2 linked regions of the Saccharomyces cerevisiae S288C genome follow. Each later gene encodes a partner of the first gene's protein in a complex. Each region holds a gene or a part of one and is shown on either strand. Other genes may lie near its edges. A codon is read from its position in the direction of its gene.

Region 1 (4,309 bases):
CAATCCTTTGTATTTTCTAGTTTAGCGCCAACTTTTGACAAAACCTAAACTTTAGATAATCATCATTCTTACAATTTTTATCTGGATGGCAATAATCTCCTATATAAAGCCCAGATAAACTGTAAAAAGAATCCATCACTATTTGAAAAAAAGTCATCTGGCACGTTTAATTATCAGAGCAGAAATGATGAAGGGTGTTAGCGCCGTCCACTGATGTGCCTGGTAGTCATGATTTACGTATAACTAACACATCATGAGGACGGCGGCGTCACCCCAACGCAAAAGAGTGACTTCCCTGCGCTTTGCCAAAACCCCATACATCGCCATCTGGCTCCTGGCAGGGCGGTTGATGGACATCAGCCGCCTCCCTTAATTGCTAAAGCCTCCACAAGGCACAATTAAGCAATATTTCGGGAAAGTACACCAGTCAGTTTGCGCTTTTATGACTGGGTTCTAAGGTACTAGATGTGAAGTAGTGGTGACAGAATCAGGGAGATAAGAGGGAGCAGGGTGGGGTAATGATGTGCGATAACAATCTTGCTTGGCTAATCACCCCCATATCTTGTAGTGAGTATATAAATAGGAGCCTCCCTTCCTATTGCAACTCCATAAAATTTTTTTTTGTAGCCACTTCTGTAACAAGATAAATAAAACCAACTAATCGAGATATCAAATATGGGTAGTTTTTGGGACGCATTCGCAGTATACGACAAGAAAAAGCACGCAGATCCAAGTGTATATGGAGGAAACCATAACAACACAGGAGACAGTAAAACGCAGGTTATGTTTTCGAAAGAGTACCGTCAACCTAGGACACATCAGCAAGAGAACTTGCAGAGCATGAGAAGATCTTCCATAGGATCACAGGACAGTTCCGATGTTGAGGACGTTAAGGAAGGGAGATTACCCGCAGAAGTAGAAATACCAAAGAATGTTGACATCTCTAACATGTCGCAAGGTGAGTTTTTAAGACTTTACGAAAGTTTGAGGAGGGGGGAACCCGACAATAAAGTAAATAGATAAATGGAGGAGATATTCATAGTGTCTTTTCTTGTGTTGTCTATTTATTCTAACATGATTATATATTTATTATGCTTTTCAGTGTTTCCATTAGTTTTATATGATAGCATCCTTATGTCTTTTTTCATACCTATATAAGCAATAAGAAGTTATGTAAACAGAACTTTGCCACTAATACCATAATTACTGTCTTTTAGTATCATTGTCTGTCAGTCGGCACGGATGAAAGGTGACAAACGCCTAGCCGCCGGAGCCTGCCGGTACCGGCTTGGCTTCAGTTGCTGATCTCGGCGCGGAAAAATCAGCGCCCCACGCCAAAAGGTTCGTATTTTTTCTTTTTTTTTCTAATCTTCCATCTATTCGGTAGCGATGATTCATTTCTCTGAAAAAAAAAAAAAAAAAAAAAAATGAAAAAGAATATTTTTTTGATGAACTTGTATTTCTCTTATCTGGTTGATATATATGCTATCATTTATTTTCTTATCAAGTTTCCAAATTTCTAATCCTTTCTCCACCATCCCTAATTAATAATTCAGATCTACGTCACACCGTAATTTGTATTGTTTTTTTCCTTCATTGTCTAAAACCGAAGAATTCATCAGCCACAGTTACTAGTTCATTTGAAGCGAAATTACACACATTTTCCCTGTTACAATAGAAAGTATTTTACAAAATCTAAACCCTTTGAGCTAAGAGGAGATAAATACAACAGAATCAATTTTCAAATGATCAGACAATCTACGCTAAAAAACTTCGCTATTAAGCGTTGCTTTCAACATATAGCATACCGCAACACACCTGCCATGAGATCAGTAGCTCTCGCGCAGCGCTTTTATAGTTCGTCTTCCCGTTATTACAGTGCGTCTCCATTACCAGCCTCTAAAAGGCCAGAGCCTGCTCCAAGTTTCAATGTTGATCCATTAGAACAGCCCGCTGAACCTTCAAAATTGGCTAAGAAACTACGCGCTGAGCCTGACATGGATACCTCTTTCGTCGGTTTAACTGGTGGTCAAATATTTAACGAAATGATGTCCAGACAAAACGTTGATACTGTATTTGGTTATCCAGGTGGTGCTATCCTACCTGTTTACGATGCCATTCATAACAGTGATAAATTCAACTTCGTTCTTCCAAAACACGAACAAGGTGCCGGTCACATGGCAGAAGGCTACGCCAGAGCTTCTGGTAAACCAGGTGTTGTCTTGGTTACTTCTGGGCCAGGTGCCACCAATGTCGTTACTCCAATGGCAGATGCCTTTGCAGACGGGATTCCAATGGTTGTCTTTACAGGGCAAGTCCCAACTAGTGCTATCGGTACTGATGCTTTCCAAGAGGCTGACGTCGTTGGTATTTCTAGATCTTGTACGAAATGGAATGTCATGGTCAAGTCCGTGGAAGAATTGCCATTGCGTATTAACGAGGCTTTTGAAATTGCCACGAGCGGTAGACCGGGACCAGTCTTGGTCGATTTACCAAAGGATGTTACAGCAGCTATCTTAAGAAATCCAATTCCAACAAAAACAACTCTTCCATCAAACGCACTAAACCAATTAACCAGTCGCGCACAAGATGAATTTGTCATGCAAAGTATCAATAAAGCAGCAGATTTGATCAACTTGGCAAAGAAACCTGTCTTATACGTCGGTGCTGGTATTTTAAACCATGCAGATGGTCCAAGATTACTAAAAGAATTAAGTGACCGTGCTCAAATACCTGTCACCACTACTTTACAAGGTTTAGGTTCATTCGACCAAGAAGATCCAAAATCATTGGATATGCTTGGTATGCACGGTTGTGCTACTGCCAACCTGGCAGTGCAAAATGCCGACTTGATAATTGCAGTTGGTGCTAGATTCGACGACCGTGTCACTGGTAATATTTCTAAATTCGCTCCAGAAGCTCGTCGTGCAGCTGCCGAGGGTAGAGGTGGTATTATTCATTTCGAGGTTAGTCCAAAAAACATAAACAAGGTTGTTCAAACTCAAATAGCAGTGGAAGGTGATGCTACGACCAATCTGGGCAAAATGATGTCAAAGATTTTCCCAGTTAAGGAGAGGTCTGAATGGTTTGCTCAAATAAATAAATGGAAGAAGGAATACCCATACGCTTATATGGAGGAGACTCCAGGATCTAAAATTAAACCACAGACGGTTATAAAGAAACTATCCAAGGTTGCCAACGACACAGGAAGACATGTCATTGTTACAACGGGTGTGGGGCAACATCAAATGTGGGCTGCTCAACACTGGACATGGAGAAATCCACATACTTTCATCACATCAGGTGGTTTAGGTACGATGGGTTACGGTCTCCCTGCCGCCATCGGTGCTCAAGTTGCAAAGCCAGAATCTTTGGTTATTGACATTGATGGTGACGCATCCTTTAACATGACTCTAACGGAATTGAGTTCTGCCGTTCAAGCTGGTACTCCAGTGAAGATTTTGATTTTGAACAATGAAGAGCAAGGTATGGTTACTCAATGGCAATCCCTGTTCTACGAACATCGTTATTCCCACACACATCAATTGAACCCTGATTTCATAAAACTAGCGGAGGCTATGGGTTTAAAAGGTTTAAGAGTCAAGAAGCAAGAGGAATTGGACGCTAAGTTGAAAGAATTCGTTTCTACCAAGGGCCCAGTTTTGCTTGAAGTGGAAGTTGATAAAAAAGTTCCTGTTTTGCCAATGGTGGCAGGTGGTAGCGGTCTAGACGAGTTCATAAATTTTGACCCAGAAGTTGAAAGACAACAGACTGAATTACGTCATAAGCGTACAGGCGGTAAGCACTGAATTTCAAAAACATTTATTTCAAAAGCATTTTCAGTAAAAAATGCAGACTTTATTATTATTTAATCGTGCTTCTTATATATGACATTCTACCAAATCGGTAGTCATGTATATTTTTTTCGTATATACTTTATATATTTTTTTCTAAAAAACTAATGACGGCTAAAATTAAGTCATAGATGAATAATAAGTTCAATTCAAGTGAGTTGGTAGTATTTGATAAATCTAAAGTGGATACGTAGCATATGTATTCAAATGGTGTGTTTTAACTCGTCGGACACGACTTCTTTCTCGTTTTGTCAATCATCAAAAATATTTCTCGAAAAGGGGCCGTCAAAAATTGCAAGCTTGGAAAATACAAACTGGACTATGTATTTAAAGGTTATAGTTTATAATAAAGCATAAGAACAGTGGCCAATACGAATTTAACCGCTTTATAGAAATGGCTATCTTAAAAAGAGGAGCTAGAAAAAAGGTACATCAGGAGCCAGCTAAACGCTCTG
Region 2 (16,847 bases), on another chromosome or scaffold:
GTATACTACATCGAGACCAAGAAGAACATTGCTGATGTGATGACAAAACCTCTTCCGATAAAAACATTTAAACTATTAACTAACAAATGGATTCATTAGATCTATTACATTATGGGTGGTATGTTGGAATAAAAATCAACTATCATCTACTAACTAGTATTTACGTTACTAGTATATTATCATATACGGTGTTAGAAGATGACGCAAATGATGAGAAATAGTCATCTAAATTAGTGGAAGCTGAAACGCAAGGATTGATAATGTAATAGGATCAATGAATATTAACATATAAAATGATGATAATAATATTTATAGAATTGTGTAGAATTGCAGATTCCCTTTTATGGATTCCTAAATCCTCGAGGAGAACTTCTAGTATATCTACATACCTAATATTATTGCCTTATTAAAAATGGAATCCCAACAATTACATCAAAATCCACATTCTCTTCAAAATCAATTGTCCTGTACTTCCTTGTTCATGTGTGTTCAAAAACGTTATATTTATAGGATAATTATACTCTATTTCTCAACAAGTAATTGGTTGTTTGGCCGAGCGGTCTAAGGCGCCTGATTCAAGAAATATCTTGACCGCAGTTAACTGTGGGAATACTCAGGTATCGTAAGATGCAAGAGTTCGAATCTCTTAGCAACCATTATTTTTTTCCTCAACATAACGAGAACACACAGGGGCGCTATCGCACAGAATCAAATTCGATGACTGGAAATTTTTTGTTAATTTCAGAGGTCGCCTGACGCATATACCTTTTTCAACTGAAAAATTGGGAGAAAAAGGAAAGGTGAGAGCGCCGGAACCGGCTTTTCATATAGAATAGAGAAGCGTTCATGACTAAATGCTTGCATCACAATACTTGAAGTTGACAATATTATTTAAGGACCTATTGTTTTTTCCAATAGGTGGTTAGCAATCGTCTTACTTTCTAACTTTTCTTACCTTTTACATTTCAGCAATATATATATATATATTTCAAGGATATACCATTCTAATGTCTGCCCCTAAGAAGATCGTCGTTTTGCCAGGTGACCACGTTGGTCAAGAAATCACAGCCGAAGCCATTAAGGTTCTTAAAGCTATTTCTGATGTTCGTTCCAATGTCAAGTTCGATTTCGAAAATCATTTAATTGGTGGTGCTGCTATCGATGCTACAGGTGTTCCACTTCCAGATGAGGCGCTGGAAGCCTCCAAGAAGGCTGATGCCGTTTTGTTAGGTGCTGTGGGTGGTCCTAAATGGGGTACCGGTAGTGTTAGACCTGAACAAGGTTTACTAAAAATCCGTAAAGAACTTCAATTGTACGCCAACTTAAGACCATGTAACTTTGCATCCGACTCTCTTTTAGACTTATCTCCAATCAAGCCACAATTTGCTAAAGGTACTGACTTCGTTGTTGTCAGAGAATTAGTGGGAGGTATTTACTTTGGTAAGAGAAAGGAAGACGATGGTGATGGTGTCGCTTGGGATAGTGAACAATACACCGTTCCAGAAGTGCAAAGAATCACAAGAATGGCCGCTTTCATGGCCCTACAACATGAGCCACCATTGCCTATTTGGTCCTTGGATAAAGCTAATGTTTTGGCCTCTTCAAGATTATGGAGAAAAACTGTGGAGGAAACCATCAAGAACGAATTCCCTACATTGAAGGTTCAACATCAATTGATTGATTCTGCCGCCATGATCCTAGTTAAGAACCCAACCCACCTAAATGGTATTATAATCACCAGCAACATGTTTGGTGATATCATCTCCGATGAAGCCTCCGTTATCCCAGGTTCCTTGGGTTTGTTGCCATCTGCGTCCTTGGCCTCTTTGCCAGACAAGAACACCGCATTTGGTTTGTACGAACCATGCCACGGTTCTGCTCCAGATTTGCCAAAGAATAAGGTCAACCCTATCGCCACTATCTTGTCTGCTGCAATGATGTTGAAATTGTCATTGAACTTGCCTGAAGAAGGTAAGGCCATTGAAGATGCAGTTAAAAAGGTTTTGGATGCAGGTATCAGAACTGGTGATTTAGGTGGTTCCAACAGTACCACCGAAGTCGGTGATGCTGTCGCCGAAGAAGTTAAGAAAATCCTTGCTTAAAAAGATTCTCTTTTTTTATGATATTTGTACATAAACTTTATAAATGAAATTCATAATAGAAACGACACGAAATTACAAAATGGAATATGTTCATAGGGTAGACGAAACTATATACGCAATCTACATACATTTATCAAGAAGGAGAAAAAGGAGGATGTAAAGGAATACAGGTAAGCAAATTGATACTAATGGCTCAACGTGATAAGGAAAAAGAATTGCACTTTAACATTAATATTGACAAGGAGGAGGGCACCACACAAAAAGTTAGGTGTAACAGAAAATCATGAAACTATGATTCCTAATTTATATATTGGAGGATTTTCTCTAAAAAAAAAAAAATACAACAAATAAAAAACACTCAATGACCTGACCATTTGATGGAGTTTAAGTCAATACCTTCTTGAACCATTTCCCATAATGGTGAAAGTTCCCTCAAGAATTTTACTCTGTCAGAAACGGCCTTAACGACGTAGTCGACCTCCTCTTCAGTACTAAATCTACCAATACCAAATCTGATGGAAGAATGGGCTAATGCATCATCCTTACCCAGCGCATGTAAAACATAAGAAGGTTCTAGGGAAGCAGATGTACAGGCTGAACCCGAGGATAATGCGATATCCCTTAGTGCCATCAATAAAGATTCTCCTTCCACGTAGGCGAAAGAAACGTTAACACACCCTGGATAACGATGATCTGGAGATCCGTTCAACGTGGTATGTTCAGCGGATAATAGACCTTTGACTAATTTATCGGATAGTCTTTTGATGTGAGCTTGGTCGTTGTCAAATTCTTTCTTCATCAATCTCGCAGCTTCACCAAATCCCGCTACCAATGGGGGGGCCAAAGTACCAGATCTCAATCCTCTCTCTTGGCCACCACCGGATAGTAAAGGTTCTAATCTAACTCTTGGTCTCCTTCTTACATAGATGGCACCTATTCCCTTTGGACCGTAAATCTTGTGAGAAGAAATTGATAGTAAATCAATGTTCATTTCATTGACATCAATGTGAATCTTACCATAGGCTTGTGCGGCGTCAGTATGAAAGTAGATCTTATTCTTTCTACAAATTGCACCAATTTCTTTAATAGGTTGAATGACACCGATTTCATTATTGACAGCCATCACAGAGACGAGACAGGTATCTGGTCTAATGGCATCTTCCAATTCCTTCAAATCGATAAGACCTTGATCGTCCACATTTAGGAAAGTGACTTCAAATCCCTCCTTCATCATGGCCCGTGCGGCTTCCAAGACACACTTGTGTTCCGTTCTAGTGGTGATGATGTGTTTCTTAGTCTTCTTATAAAATCTTGGGACACCCTTAAGAACCATATTATTAGATTCGGTCGCTCCCGAAGTGAATATTATTTCCTTGGGGTCGGCATTGATCATCTTTGCTACGTGAGCTCTAGCATTTTCCACAGCAGTATTTGTTTCCCAACCGTAAGAGTGAGTGTTGGAATGAGGATTACCATAAAGTCCCGTATAAAACTTCAACATCGTATCCAAAACCCTAGGGTCTGTTGGTGTAGTGGCTTGCATGTCAAGATATATGGGACGAGTACCAAAACCTGTGTTTTCTTGATAAGCATGGCTCATTGCAGTGCTACCAGAAGCTACTACAGCATCTGGGGTGGTACCGGATGCACTCGCACGGGCACTAGCCTGTGCCTTTGCAGCAGCCTGAATATCGGTATGCGTTTCCAGAGAGAAGTTGTCGTCTAACTTCACGCCTGCTGCAGGAGGGGAATAGAATCTCCTGCTTACCAAACAAGCCCTATATGTGGCCGCTGGAACGTTGTAAACTTGAGATAATCTTGTTATCGATCTTGTAGCAGTTGATTTCAACATCTTCCAGTTGTAGCAGTTCCTTCGTGTATGCGATATATTTTAATGAAAATGATGTATCTGAAATAGAAAATATAACACACTAATGAACTCTGTCGGTCTTTACTCTGAGTGAGTTACTTAGATAGTCATCATATATCCCTGGGCGATGGCCTTACTATTTGTCAGCGACCGTATCTAAAATTGGTAGGTCACTATCAACTATTGCGGGTAATAGGGTGCATAATAGTATTGTAATATATATAAATATATAAAGCTACTATGATAGATATTTGTTGCTATTCACGTCATCCACTATTACTTTAGTGGTTCCGCTATATATTCGCATTGCCCATCGAAGGCAGTTTTGTGTGCTACCTGCTCGTGACCACGGTCTTTTTGCCCAGTCTTTTACGGCGGGCATACTTCATGATGAAACTGTCTATTTTCATACCTCTTGAATTTAGTTCTTCAATTAGAGGCTTGATATCCTCCAAGTCCCACTGTGACTGTAGCCTAAACAGGACTTTAAACCGTTCTTTGGGGTCCATTGGTAGTGTGCTTTTCGCTATATACTGGACAGTCTTATCGGTAGGCTTGAAATGATAGCCTCGCAGCATGTCAATGTCAATGTCACATGGGAAGAAAGGTGGGAAAAGGGACTTCCACTTGATGAGGAACTCATCAATTGGCATGCTTATTCCAGAAACATATTTCCTTAGCGCTTGAATCCCGTACCACTGAGCTATAAACGGTATTCTCAAGCGCCACGTATTGTTTTCAGCCTCTTGCTCTTGAACAGCAAATTTATTCAGCACTGTTTCAATGATTTCTCTTGTGTATGGATTGAACTCGTCCTCAATGTCCTTCCCCACAGCGTGATGTGTATCCTCAACATTCAGATGCTGTAGATCGAGTGATTCTGCCATTGCGCTCATCAGTAGTACATGCAGTGCTTTGAAAAGGAAGTCTTGTGAAAGAATACACAACACACCGTCTTTCACAGATCCACCAATCTTATGCCATTTTGATATACCTTCTAGCGCAGAACATGGTGAGTTCTCAAGTAGTTCTTCCAGGGTCCCGATAACCTTTGTAGATGACCTCTTCATGATTTTGTCGGAGAAATCCAGTTCTCCGTTGTATATTGGTACTGAATTCAAGTTCAATTCGCCATGTGTCTCTCTGGTCTCAAATTCTGATTCAGTCTTGGCGAATCCCACGACGTCCATGTACGGCTTGGACAGTCCAAACAAGAGCGTTTCGTCGAAAGTAATAGGTTGTTCAGGAACAAATTCTCTCATTAGTAGAACTGTGTTTGAATGTTTGCGCTGCTTCAGCACCCAAGTCTTGTCGTGCGAACACAGTACAACTTCAGACTTGTCTTTGTCCAATGACTTAAACCTTAACTGGTGATTTTGAACCGGATCCTGTATTATATCCAGTAACTCTGGTGTCAACTGGATCAGCTTATAAGATGGATCATACTCGGGTGCGGAATGTAGGTTGATGGACATGGTACAGGATTATTAGTGAGCAAATCTCTGGTGGATTTTTACCGTTCATCTCATAGTGCTTTTTTAGTTTATTTTTCACTTTTTTCTGGTTATACTATACGCTGCCTACTGAAGCAATAAGCAAGAAACACAACAGTATAAAGGGACAAAGATAATAAACCGCCTACTACTAAATAATATCGCTGTGGTATGCTACTCCTAGAGATTTCGATCACCATCGTGGTGCTCTTTGTCATACGCATAGAATTGACAAAAAAGAACCCTAAGCTATAAATTAGGTCATGTTGAGCGATTGCCAGTTGCCAAGACCTAGGGTTTTGTTCGAACAATTCTAAAAAGGTAAATAAAAACAATGGTAAACAAAGGCTTTGATCTTCAATGAGGAAGATTTCTCTCACTGCGGATAGTAAAAACAACACTAGTTTGTCTGTACTCGCATTCTACTGCTGCTACCTGCTACTCATTACGTGTTCGGGCTGTTATCTGGTTGCTAAAAGAGTATATTTACACCTCACCAATGGAGAAAGACCTGTCGTCTCTTTACTCTGAAAAGAAAGACAAAGAGAACGATGAAACCTTATTTAACATCAAACTATCCAAATCTGTTGTCGAGACCACACCGCTAAATGGTCATTCATTGTTTGATGATGATAAATCACTTTCAGACTGGACGGATAATGTGTTCACTCAATCAGTATTCTATCACGGGTCAGATGACTTGATATGGGGGAAGTTCTTTGTCTGCGTGTACAAGTCCCCCAACAGCAATAAGTTGAACGCTATAATATTCGACAAATTAGGAACATCATGCTTCGAATCCGTCGATATATCTTCCAACTCGCAATACTATCCGGCCATTGAGAATTTGAGTCCAAGTGATCAGGAAAGCAATGTTAAGAAATGCATTGCTGTCATTCTGTTACAGCGCTATCCATTACTTTCACCATCAGACTTATCACAAATATTGTCCAATAAATCGGAAAATTGCGACTATGACCCCCCTTATGCTGGAGATTTGGCTAGTAGTTGCCAGTTGATAACAGCAGTTCCTCCAGAAGATCTGGGGAAGCGCTTCTTTACATCAGGACTTCTGCAAAATAGATTTGTCAGCTCTACCCTGTTAGATGTTATTTATGAAAACAATGAATCCACCATCGAACTAAATAATAGGTTGGTATTCCATCTGGGTGAACAACTTGAACAACTTTTTAACCCAGTCACAGAATACTCACCGGAACAGACAGAATATGGTTATAAGGCGCCAGAGGACGAATTACCCACAGAATCGGATGATGATCTTGTCAAGGCCATTTGCAACGAGTTATTACAACTACAAACAAATTTTACTTTCAATTTGGTAGAATTTTTGCAAAAATTCCTGATCGCCTTGAGAGTCAGAGTACTCAATGAAGAAATTAATGGGTTATCCACAACCAAATTAAATCGACTCTTCCCACCTACAATAGATGAAGTCACAAGAATCAATTGTATTTTTCTAGACTCGCTAAAGACAGCAATCCCTTACGGTTCCCTCGAAGTACTGAAGGCATGCAGCATTACTATTCCTTATTTCTACAAAGCATATACAAGACACGAGGCGGCCACAAAGAACTTCAGCAAAGATATTAAATTGTTTATTAGGCATTTCAGCAATGTAATTCCAGAAAGAGAGGTCTACACGGAAATGAAAATCGAGAGTATAATTAAGGGACCTCAGGAAAAACTACTGAAGCTAAAGTTAATTATAGAGAGATTGTGGAAGTCGAAAAAATGGAGACCGAAAAATCAAGAAATGGCAAAAAAATGCTACAACAATATCATTGATGTCATTGATTCGTTTGGAAAATTAGATTCCCCACTTCATTCTTATAGTACCAGAGTATTTACTCCATCGGGAAAAATCCTTACAGAATTAGCCAAATGCTGGCCCGTAGAACTGCAATACAAATGGCTGAAGAGAAGGGTAGTCGGTGTGTATGATGTAGTGGATTTGAATGATGAAAATAAGAGAAATTTATTAGTCATATTCAGTGATTATGTGGTTTTCATCAATATACTGGAGGCAGAAAGTTACTACACTTCAGATGGATCAAACAGGCCCTTAATCTCAGATATTTTAATGAACTCATTGATCAACGAAGTTCCGTTGCCCTCCAAGATCCCTAAGTTGAAAGTGGAGCGTCATTGCTATATAGATGAGGTTCTAGTTTCTATATTAGACAAAAGCACTCTACGTTTTGATCGATTGAAGGGAAAAGATTCTTTCTCAATGGTATGTAAATTATCCTCTGCATTTATCTCTTCTTCGTCAGTTGCTGACTTGATTACGAAGGCTAGAATTTTGGAAAAAGACACTGCATTTCATTTATTTAAAGCTAGTAGAAGCCATTTTACATTATATTCTACTGCTCACGAGCTTTGCGCTTATGATTCCGAAAAAATAAAATCAAAATTTGCCTTATTCCTGAACATACCACCATCCAAGGAGATATTGGAGGTCAACAACCTTCATTTGGCTTTTTTTGCAAGATTTTGCAGTAACGATGGTAGAGATAACATCGTAATCTTAGACGTCTTAACCAAACATGACGATAAACATATAGAAGTTACATCCGATAACATTGTTTTCACCATAATTAATCAATTGGCCATTGAAATACCGATATGCTTTTCTTCCTTAAACTCATCGATGGCCAAAGATTTACTCTGTGTAAATGAGAATTTGATAAAAAACTTAGAACATCAATTGGAAGAGGTCAAGCACCCTTCAACAGACGAACATAGGGCTGTTAATAGCAAACTTTCCGGTGCATCCGATTTCGATGCTACTCACGAGAAGAAAAGATCATACGGTACCATAACAACATTTAGAAGCTATACAAGCGACTTGAAGGACAGTCCATCAGGCGATAATAGTAATGTCACCAAGGAAACTAAGGAAATTTTACCAGTGAAACCTACGAAAAAGTCTTCAAAAAAACCAAGAGAAATTCAAAAGAAGACCAAGACAAACGCCTCTAAAGCAGAGCACATAGAAAAGAAGAAGCCTAACAAAGGCAAAGGGTTTTTTGGCGTGTTAAAAAATGTTTTTGGAAGTAAAAGCAAGAGCAAGCCTTCACCAGTTCAAAGAGTGCCTAAAAAAATATCGCAGAGGCATCCTAAGTCTCCAGTGAAGAAGCCAATGACCTCAGAAAAGAAATCCTCCCCTAAAAGGGCAGTCGTTTCATCTCCCAAAATTAAAAAGAAAAGTACTTCTTTTTCCACAAAAGAATCACAAACTGCTAAATCTTCTCTTCGAGCAGTTGAATTCAAATCTGATGACTTGATCGGAAAACCACCTGATGTTGGAAATGGCGCACATCCTCAAGAAAATACCAGAATATCTTCAGTAGTAAGGGATACAAAATATGTCTCCTACAATCCCTCTCAGCCTGTGACAGAAAATACCAGTAACGAAAAAAATGTCGAACCAAAAGCGGATCAATCCACAAAGCAGGATAACATTTCCAATTTTGCAGATGTAGAGGTATCTGCGTCTTCTTATCCTGAAAAACTTGATGCAGAAACAGATGATCAAATAATTGGGAAGGCGACGAATTCGTCATCAGTTCATGGAAATAAAGAGCTGCCAGACCTTGCTGAGGTGACTACAGCAAATAGGGTTTCTACAACATCGGCTGGGGACCAACGTATTGATACCCAAAGCGAATTTTTACGTGCAGCTGATGTTGAAAACTTAAGTGATGACGATGAACACAGACAGAATGAAAGTAGAGTTTTTAACGATGACCTCTTTGGTGATTTTATTCCTAAGCATTACCGTAATAAACAGGAGAACATTAACAGCTCGAGTAATTTGTTTCCAGAGGGAAAGGTGCCCCAAGAAAAGGGCGTATCAAATGAAAACACTAACATATCTCTCAAAACTAATGAAGATGCATCTACATTGACGCAGAAACTCTCTCCACAAGCGAGTAAAGTGCTGACAGAAAATTCTAATGAATTAAAAGATACCAACAATGAAGGGAAGGACGCAAAGGACATAAAATTAGGAGATGATTACAGTGATAAAGAAACAGCGAAAGAAATAACTAAACCAAAAAATTTTGTTGAAGGAATAACTGAACGGAAAGAAATATTCCCCACTATTCCTAGGTTAGCGCCGCCAGCTTCAAAAATTAACTTTCAAAGGTCACCATCCTATATTGAGCTCTTTCAAGGAATGAGGGTGGTTTTAGATAAGCATGATGCCCATTATAACTGGAAACGCTTGGCTAGTCAAGTCTCCTTAAGTGAGGGACTAAAAGTCAATACTGAGGAAGATGCGGCAATTATAAATAAAAGTCAGGATGATGCCAAGGCGGAAAGAATGACTCAAATTTCTGAAGTGATTGAGTATGAAATGCAGCAACCTATCCCAACTTATTTGCCTAAGGCGCATCTAGATGACTCGGGTATTGAAAAAAGTGATGACAAATTCTTCGAAATTGAAGAAGAACTTAAGGAAGAATTGAAGGGCAGCAAAACCGGTAATGAAGATGTCGGTAATAATAATCCATCCAATTCTATTCCAAAAATCGAGAAGCCCCCAGCATTCAAAGTTATTAGAACATCGCCTGTGAGAATTATCGGAAGGACTTTTGAAGACACTAGAAAATATGAAAATGGCTCTCCATCTGATATTTCGTTCACTTATGATACTCACAACAATGATGAACCTGACAAAAGGCTGATGGAATTAAAATTTCCATCCCAAGATGAAATTCCGGATGACAGATTCTATACTCCAGCAGAGGAACCCACTGCTGAATTTCCGGTGGAAGAACTTCCAAATACTCCGCGAAGTATTAACGTTACAACTTCAAATAACAAGAGCACAGACGATAAGTTGAGTAGCGGTAATATTGATCAAAAACCTACCGAACTGTTAGATGATTTAGAATTCAGTTCATTTAATATAGCATTTGGAAATACCTCCATGAGTACTGACAATATGAAAATATCATCCGACTTAAGTTCGAATAAAACCGTGTTAGGAAATGCTCAGAAAGTTCAAGAGTCTCCTAGTGGACCATTAATCTATGTTTTGCCTCAGAGTAGCACAAAGCATGAGAAAGAGGGGTTCCTTCGAAAGAAACAAAAAGACGAGCCCATTTGGGTTTCCCCTAGCAAAATTGACTTTGCTGATCTAAGTAGGAGAACTAAAGCATTGACGCCAGAGCGTAATACTGTTCCTTTGAAAAACAACGACAGTAGAAAATACAAATATACTGGAGAGGGATCTATCGGTAATATGACAAATATGCTGTTAACTAAAGATGCTTCGTACGCGTACTTAAAAGATTTTGTTGCGTTGAGTGACGATGAAGATGAAGATGGGAAACAGAACTGCGCTGTTGGTGGCCCAGAGAAACTGAAATTTTATTGAGTGTTTTATTGATTTTTTTTTTCTTTTTAATTTAATGCAATGTATACATTTACATAAAATATGGACAAATAAGAAAAAGGGGGAAAAACCTCCCACTTAAGTAAAACTGAATATATTAGATACCTTTACCTACTATCAAAGGTGAATGCTTTTGGATCAATAGGGGTTCCATCGGGGGCAATACCATTTTGGCCGAACTTTCTTTCCATATATAATAGTCTAGCCTTATCGAAATCTACATTATCGTTTTCCATAATTTGTTTAATCTCATTCTTGGAGACATCATCCAAACCACCTCTTACGTCGTTGCTATTCTCCGAGATAATATCGAAATTCCTGGAATGGAGACCGTTTTCTAGGTCATCAGCAAAGGAATCATTTAAACGTATATGTCTATTAAAACGTAATTGTATTCTTGAACGCAGTGCACGAAATTTGTCGGCTATTACAGCTGTTAGTATTTAGATACGGTTTGCACTTTGCATTTTCAAATGCTTAAATATACATACCAACTTTGGTTTTCCGGTGTGCCATAAGAAGGCATAAAGACAATAGCACAACCCAGAGGAGCAATTTGAGATAGAACAAACTCTTCATACTCGTATTTGCAATTTTTGGAAATTAATTGTGTAGCTTTTCTTCTCTTAATTGGTGGCAGTTTTTATATATTCAGTTTAGAATACCCTTTTTTTTTTTTTTTTTTTCTTCGCTTTTCGCATCTCATCGCTGGAAGTGGTGCTCTTTTACAGGGATTAAATAAGGTTATTCTTTTTGGTCAAAATGATAAATATAACTATTAAAGTTATTTATAACCCGCCCGCTTCCTTATTATTTATACGTTATCATAAAGTACACAGGTCATGGTTCGGTTGGTGCTTAGGAATTAATCACGTCTAGCATAAGAGATCTGTAAACTACAACCACCATAATTATAATTATTTAATTTTTGAATACAAAAATCTGCATCTACTAAATTTTCATATTCTACAACAGCAACACCAGTTGGTTGACCATTTTCCTGTGGTTTCAATTCCGCGTTATTGATTTTGCCGATAGGCCCAAACAAGTCGAATAAATCGCTTCTTGCTGTTGAGAATGGTAAATTACTACAATAAATGAAACAGTTTCTATCCCCTCCTGGATTGACACCTTCAGTAAATTTTGCTGCAGTTTCATCAATGTGGACAGCGGCATCCTGCGCAAGACCTGGTTCAGTACCTCTGGTATCTTCAAGGTCCTCACGCCTTTGATTATAACGATCATTGTTCTTTCTCTTGTTGAAACGCCCTTCTCTAACTTCCAAAACTCTACCTTCTACTTCCATGCCGTTGAATGTATCGATAGCTCTAATCATTTCATCCTCAGTAGGATAAATGACAGAACCGAATCCTCTTGAAAATCCGTTGAAATCCAATTCTACATCGGCACGCAAGACATGACCACATTCTTTAAACATATCTTTTAAGGATTGCCAATTCATAGAGTACGGTAAATTGATGATGAACACTTCAAACCCATTATCTATTTCTTCCCTAGTAGCTTTCTTAGAAAATTCCTTGGCAGCTTCAGGAGGAGGATTATCCTGTCTTACCATTAGTTTCCGGTCCATAAAGAGGGCACCATCAAACTTCGATATGGCATCTTGGACAGATTCGTTTTTGGTAAATTCCACAGTCCCCATACCACGGTGATGGCCCTTTGATGTGATAATGTCAGCCTCCACAACTTCGCCCACTGTACCAAACAATTCCTTAAGGTCTTCAGGGGTACAATCAAAAGTCAAGTTTCTCACGAAGATACTATTTTCAAAATTTCTCTTGGTCGCGTCAAATTGCCTTTCTAAGTCTCTTTCAACAATTGGACCTAAAGTACGACCCCTACCGCCACCGCGTCCCCCTCTGAATGATCTGCTTCCTCCTCTGCCACGGCCTCCTCGGCGAGGGGGCCAGTTCCTATCATCGTGGTAGCGGCTGCCACCATAACTCTGATCGTACCGATCATTGAAACGGGAGCCTCGGTCGCGTCTCTGACGACGACTGCCATTACCATTATTACTGCTACTATCGTTATAATCATCGTACCTGTCTCTGTCGTCGCTCAAACGACGACGTACAGGTGATCTTGATCTACTCCTATCATTTCCATACATCCCTAGCTCTCTCTCCATCTTGGCGAAAAAATCCAGCTGATGTTTGTTTCCTTTTCGCCCATAGCTTATTTCTAATGGGAAATCCTCAATATAATTGATTTCATCCAAGCTTTCATTTTTTTTCAATTTTTTTCACCTTCAAGTGAATACATCACTTCCGACGATACCAAAATAATGACAAAATGCCATGAGAAGATCTTATGATATGTAGTAAATGTTAACCACCATTGCTATTTCCTTGCTAGGTTTGCCAAAGCCGTTGGCGAAGGCAGCACTAGACGGCGAGTCACTTCCGTCTCTTTGTCCACTTCCTCTTCACCATCAAATCGAAGCCTGCAAGTGCCGTCCCTCTTGGTTCCGATGACAATTGCAGGATAAAAAGTGGTCGTTTCAGGATATCTTGCCAGAACCTTAGTACCTGGCGGGTAGTTCTTAGTGGGAAAGCCTGGCGGGATCAACAGTAGTTCTTTCCGATTACATTTATACACCTTGCCTGAGTTGCCCAATTCATCAGGTTCAGGATCTCTCACTTCAAATCGTGTACCATCTGCTACGACTTTGAGTACTTCACACTGTATCCATTCGCCGTCGGCACTGCCCCTTCTGGGCTTATAGGCAACCTCTGAGCCCACCAAAATAGGTGCATTTGGGTTGTATTCGCTGGTCCAGTACGATCTGCCAACTTTCCCCACAGCTTTCTTGCCCTGCGACAATGCCATGCGTGTCCCTTCTCCTTCTTCTGCATCTTCAGTATTTTCCTCACTCTTTTCCTCTCGTGACTGATTCAACATCAACGACAAATTGGAACGTACATTGTCAAGGATTCGGTGCACTCTGTTGACGTTTTCCATGTGTTCTTGGAAAGTGTTGAGATGCAATTGCAGCTGATCCTTTGACATATTAAGGAAATTTAGTTTTTTTGTTTGCAGCTCATCATCAAAGGGAATGACCTCGTTGGCATTGTATATGTCTTGCAAGGACGACACTACAACATCCCAATATCCGTCCATAATAAGAAAGGTGACCGTGTGTTTTGCTGTGAAAAACTCCCCCCACTTAGAGAAGCCACCAAGGTATTGTGTCTTTAACCTTTTTCGTATCTGGCAAAATCGAAGAGGAAAGCAGAAAACCAAAAGAAAAAAATAGTTTAGTAACGCGTCACCTCGTACAAACGTACAATCATAGCAACTTATGAGTAAATAGGCTCATGGTTATAGATACGTTATATAGATGTATAGAGGAGAGTCCCGAGGGCGATCGCAAGGCCGAGAGACTAACCTAACCAGGTGGTAGTTGGGAAATGTCGACGATTTCGCTGATCTTTTCGTCTTCGTCGGCAGCTTCCTCGGTGCTTGTCTTCAAAGGAGTTCTTGGCAATGCCATCATACCGCTTCTTGCACACTCTAGGACACCGAATGGCTCGACCAACTTCAAGAAGGCAGAGATACGTGTGGGTTTTGCAGACAACTCCACAATACAGCTTGTTTCGCTGATGTCGACGACACGACCTCCAAAGTTGTTGGTCAAGTTGGTGATATCGTTCAAATGCTCGTGCTTCAACCTTAATACCTCACTGGCGGGCAAGTTGGCAGGGTGGAATTGCTTTTCTCTGATTTCGGCGACCAATTCTTGGGAGTCAGCGGCGCCAGCATTGGTGGAAGTGTGGTGGTGCAATAGTAGGTCTTCGAAGTATTCAGTACCCAATAGAGAGATTCTGGCCATCACTAGCTCTCTTTTGATGATCTCAGAATTGGTATAGTCTAGGACGGCGTAGACGGGGACCAAGTCTTCGATTTGTCTGCGTGCTTGTTCGACTACGCCATCTTGCCCTTGCAAAACAATGGTCATTCTACTTAGGTCTTTGACCTCGGTGTTGCACACGACCAACGAATCGATGTTAAAGCCTCTGGCAGCTAACGTACCCGAGACTCTGGACAAGACACCGGGTTCGTTTTGCACCAAACAGTTCAAGACATGCTGTTTTCTTGGTTGACGAGAAGGCGCTGGTGTTTCGTAAATGATGGATGAAACGGCACTGTTGGCATTCCAGGAAGGAGTGTCTAGTGTGGGCAAGGGAGGTCTTGTTGCGTGTCTGTGCATCTGCTTGTACGCCAACGCGGAGGTCGACGAGGAACTGCAACGCACCATGGTAGCACATGAAGAAGCAACCACCCTGCGGTGGCCGCTTTGCAATAACGATCTCAGCATTAGAAAGACTGGGTTAGTGAGCTCAGATGTTCTAAAGATTCTGTATATACGAACTATGTACTTCCATATATACCATTCCCCGTTCTTGTTAGGTAAAGGTTAAAAAAATATTTTTTATGGCACTTCGGCGATGCGAAAGAAAGTGAGTCACGATAACGGTGAGGTGATTCGTTGGATGTGCCATCGCACAAGGAATTGCTGGCGTGCTAATTCACGACCTTGCTTGACAAAAGTATCGAGGGGAATGGTGCCACGGTGCAGCATCCTAGATAAGCACTCAATGGTGTCCGTGAGAGCGTAGTCCTGGGCAACGAGGTTGTATAGTTGATTGAGTCCATCTGTTTTGGCCACTGCTATGGAGTTCACGTCCTCGTCATCCACATGCGAAGTTGAGCTAAACTGTTGGACTTTGGCCCTATTTGCGGTCAGGACGTCTATCTGTGCGTTTAGCGAGTGCATGGTCTGCTCAATAGCCTGCTCAACGGCTCGTAAATGGTTCTTGTCGATGGCGATTATTTCATGGAATCTGGCAATTGATTCTTGCATGACGGTCTGTCTCGTCAGTATCTTGTCCGCTACATAGTCCACATCCTCTCTGTATAACTCATTGACTACGGTTTGTAGATTTTGTAGCATTTCATGATGGTTGGTTGGGGAGATATCCGTGTTGTCCATGTCCATAAGGTCGAGTGCGTTAGATGCCGGTTGAGGTGGTGGAGGTGGAGGCAATGGCGGTTTTAGGTGTGGAGACTTGGGCTTTGGGGGCAGTGGGGGAGTATTCTGCTCCTGCTGGAGCTGCGTATTGGGCTTAGGGGGTAGACTGGGCGCCTGATCTTGTGGCGGCTCGTGTAAGAGACTCATTAATTCTTGTACGACCATTATAAGGTTCATCGCGGCAGGATCCCAGCAGTGGAGTATGGGCAGCGCAATCCACCCATTGGAGTCGATGTATTCTTGAATGGGCAAGGAACTACTGATGGTGTTCATGTCGAAATTTTCCAAGTTTATACTTATAAAGGGAGGTTTTACCGGGTACATACTGGGTACCCACATGATCACAGGAATACTGTGAGGAGATGAACCATCCTCACCAGTACTAATGGTACCATATATGGACAACAGTAGTTGTGGAGTGCCGTCAGAGTGCGTAAATACCCTTGTTCTTGGCCTTAAACTGTGAAAATTGTCCAGCAGCGCTAAAGAATCGTGGAAAGTTGTTCTTCCGTCGTTATAAATGGGTTGAATGACTTTGAACAGCCAATTGACCACCGCCTCGGGAACAGAGATCTTGCCGTTTGCAGACATCGTTGCTCTTCACTCTCTCTCTTTTCTTGGCCGTTAAGATACCAACTGCCCACAAAATTTTGCCGTAACTTTTTATTCTCGCTCTGTGAAAAAAGACTACTACATTTTTTGACCTTTTATCTATACTTTAAGAAACAAAGGTCCAACGAATAATAAAGAACAAAGAGTAATGAGTAGTTTGTATGTGTCATAATCTCTTCTCTCCGCTTCCCTTTTCTTCCTTCTTCTTCTACTAACTCTCTGCGCGTCCAATTTAGCTATACTGTTGTTGGTGTATTCATAGTGGTTAGTGCCATGTCCGTGCTGTTCT

Evidence for each region.
Region 2: the proteins of ILV2 (region 1) and ILV6 are in contact, whole or in part, in a crystal structure (PDB 6U9D), measured with the Saccharomyces cerevisiae proteins. Residues at the interface, in NP_013826.1 of Saccharomyces cerevisiae: Arg211 (codon at 2,376), Lys215 (codon at 2,388), Trp216 (codon at 2,391), Asn217 (codon at 2,394), Ile236 (codon at 2,451), Pro269 (codon at 2,550), Ser270 (codon at 2,553), Ala272 (codon at 2,559), Leu273 (codon at 2,562), Pro410 (codon at 2,973), Lys411 (codon at 2,976), Ile413 (codon at 2,982), Asn414 (codon at 2,985), Lys415 (codon at 2,988); in NP_009918.1 of Saccharomyces cerevisiae: Gln85 (codon at 14,980), Glu87 (codon at 14,974), Ser92 (codon at 14,959), Arg93 (codon at 14,956), Arg101 (codon at 14,932), Gln134 (codon at 14,833), Arg137 (codon at 14,824), Gln138 (codon at 14,821), Glu140 (codon at 14,815), Asp141 (codon at 14,812), Leu142 (codon at 14,809), Val143 (codon at 14,806), Pro144 (codon at 14,803), Val145 (codon at 14,800), Tyr146 (codon at 14,797), Ala147 (codon at 14,794).

The regions. Positions count from the first base shown.
Region 1 is NC_001145.3:482,339-486,647, forward strand, and holds ILV2 (acetolactate synthase catalytic subunit), read left to right. Parts: upstream 1-1,745; coding exon 1,746-3,809; downstream 3,810-4,309. Other genes in the region: SPG4 (Spg4p), read left to right, coding at 676-1,023; MYO5 (myosin 5), read left to right, coding at 4,249-4,309. UniProt on the Saccharomyces cerevisiae protein: Catalytic subunit of mitochondrial acetolactate synthase, which catalyzes the first of a series of common steps in the biosynthesis of the branched-chain amino acids.
Region 2 is NC_001135.5:90,317-107,163, forward strand, and holds ILV6 (acetolactate synthase regulatory subunit), read right to left. Parts: upstream 15,233-16,847; coding exon 14,303-15,232; downstream 1-14,302. Other genes in the region: LEU2 (3-isopropylmalate dehydrogenase), read left to right, coding at 1,008-2,102; NFS1 (cysteine desulfurase), read right to left, coding at 2,461-3,954; DCC1 (Dcc1p), read right to left, coding at 4,305-5,447; BUD3 (Bud3p), read left to right, coding at 5,965-10,875; YCL012C (uncharacterized protein), read right to left, coding at 11,001-11,317, 11,385-11,472; GBP2 (single-stranded telomeric DNA-binding/mRNA-binding protein), read right to left, coding at 11,759-13,042; SGF29 (Sgf29p), read right to left, coding at 13,255-14,034; ubiquitin-binding ESCRT-I subunit protein STP22, read right to left, coding at 15,380-16,537; VMA9 (H(+)-transporting V0 sector ATPase subunit e), read left to right, coding at 16,707-16,717, 16,795-16,847. UniProt on the Saccharomyces cerevisiae protein: Regulatory subunit of mitochondrial acetolactate synthase, which catalyzes the first of a series of common steps in the biosynthesis of the branched-chain amino acids.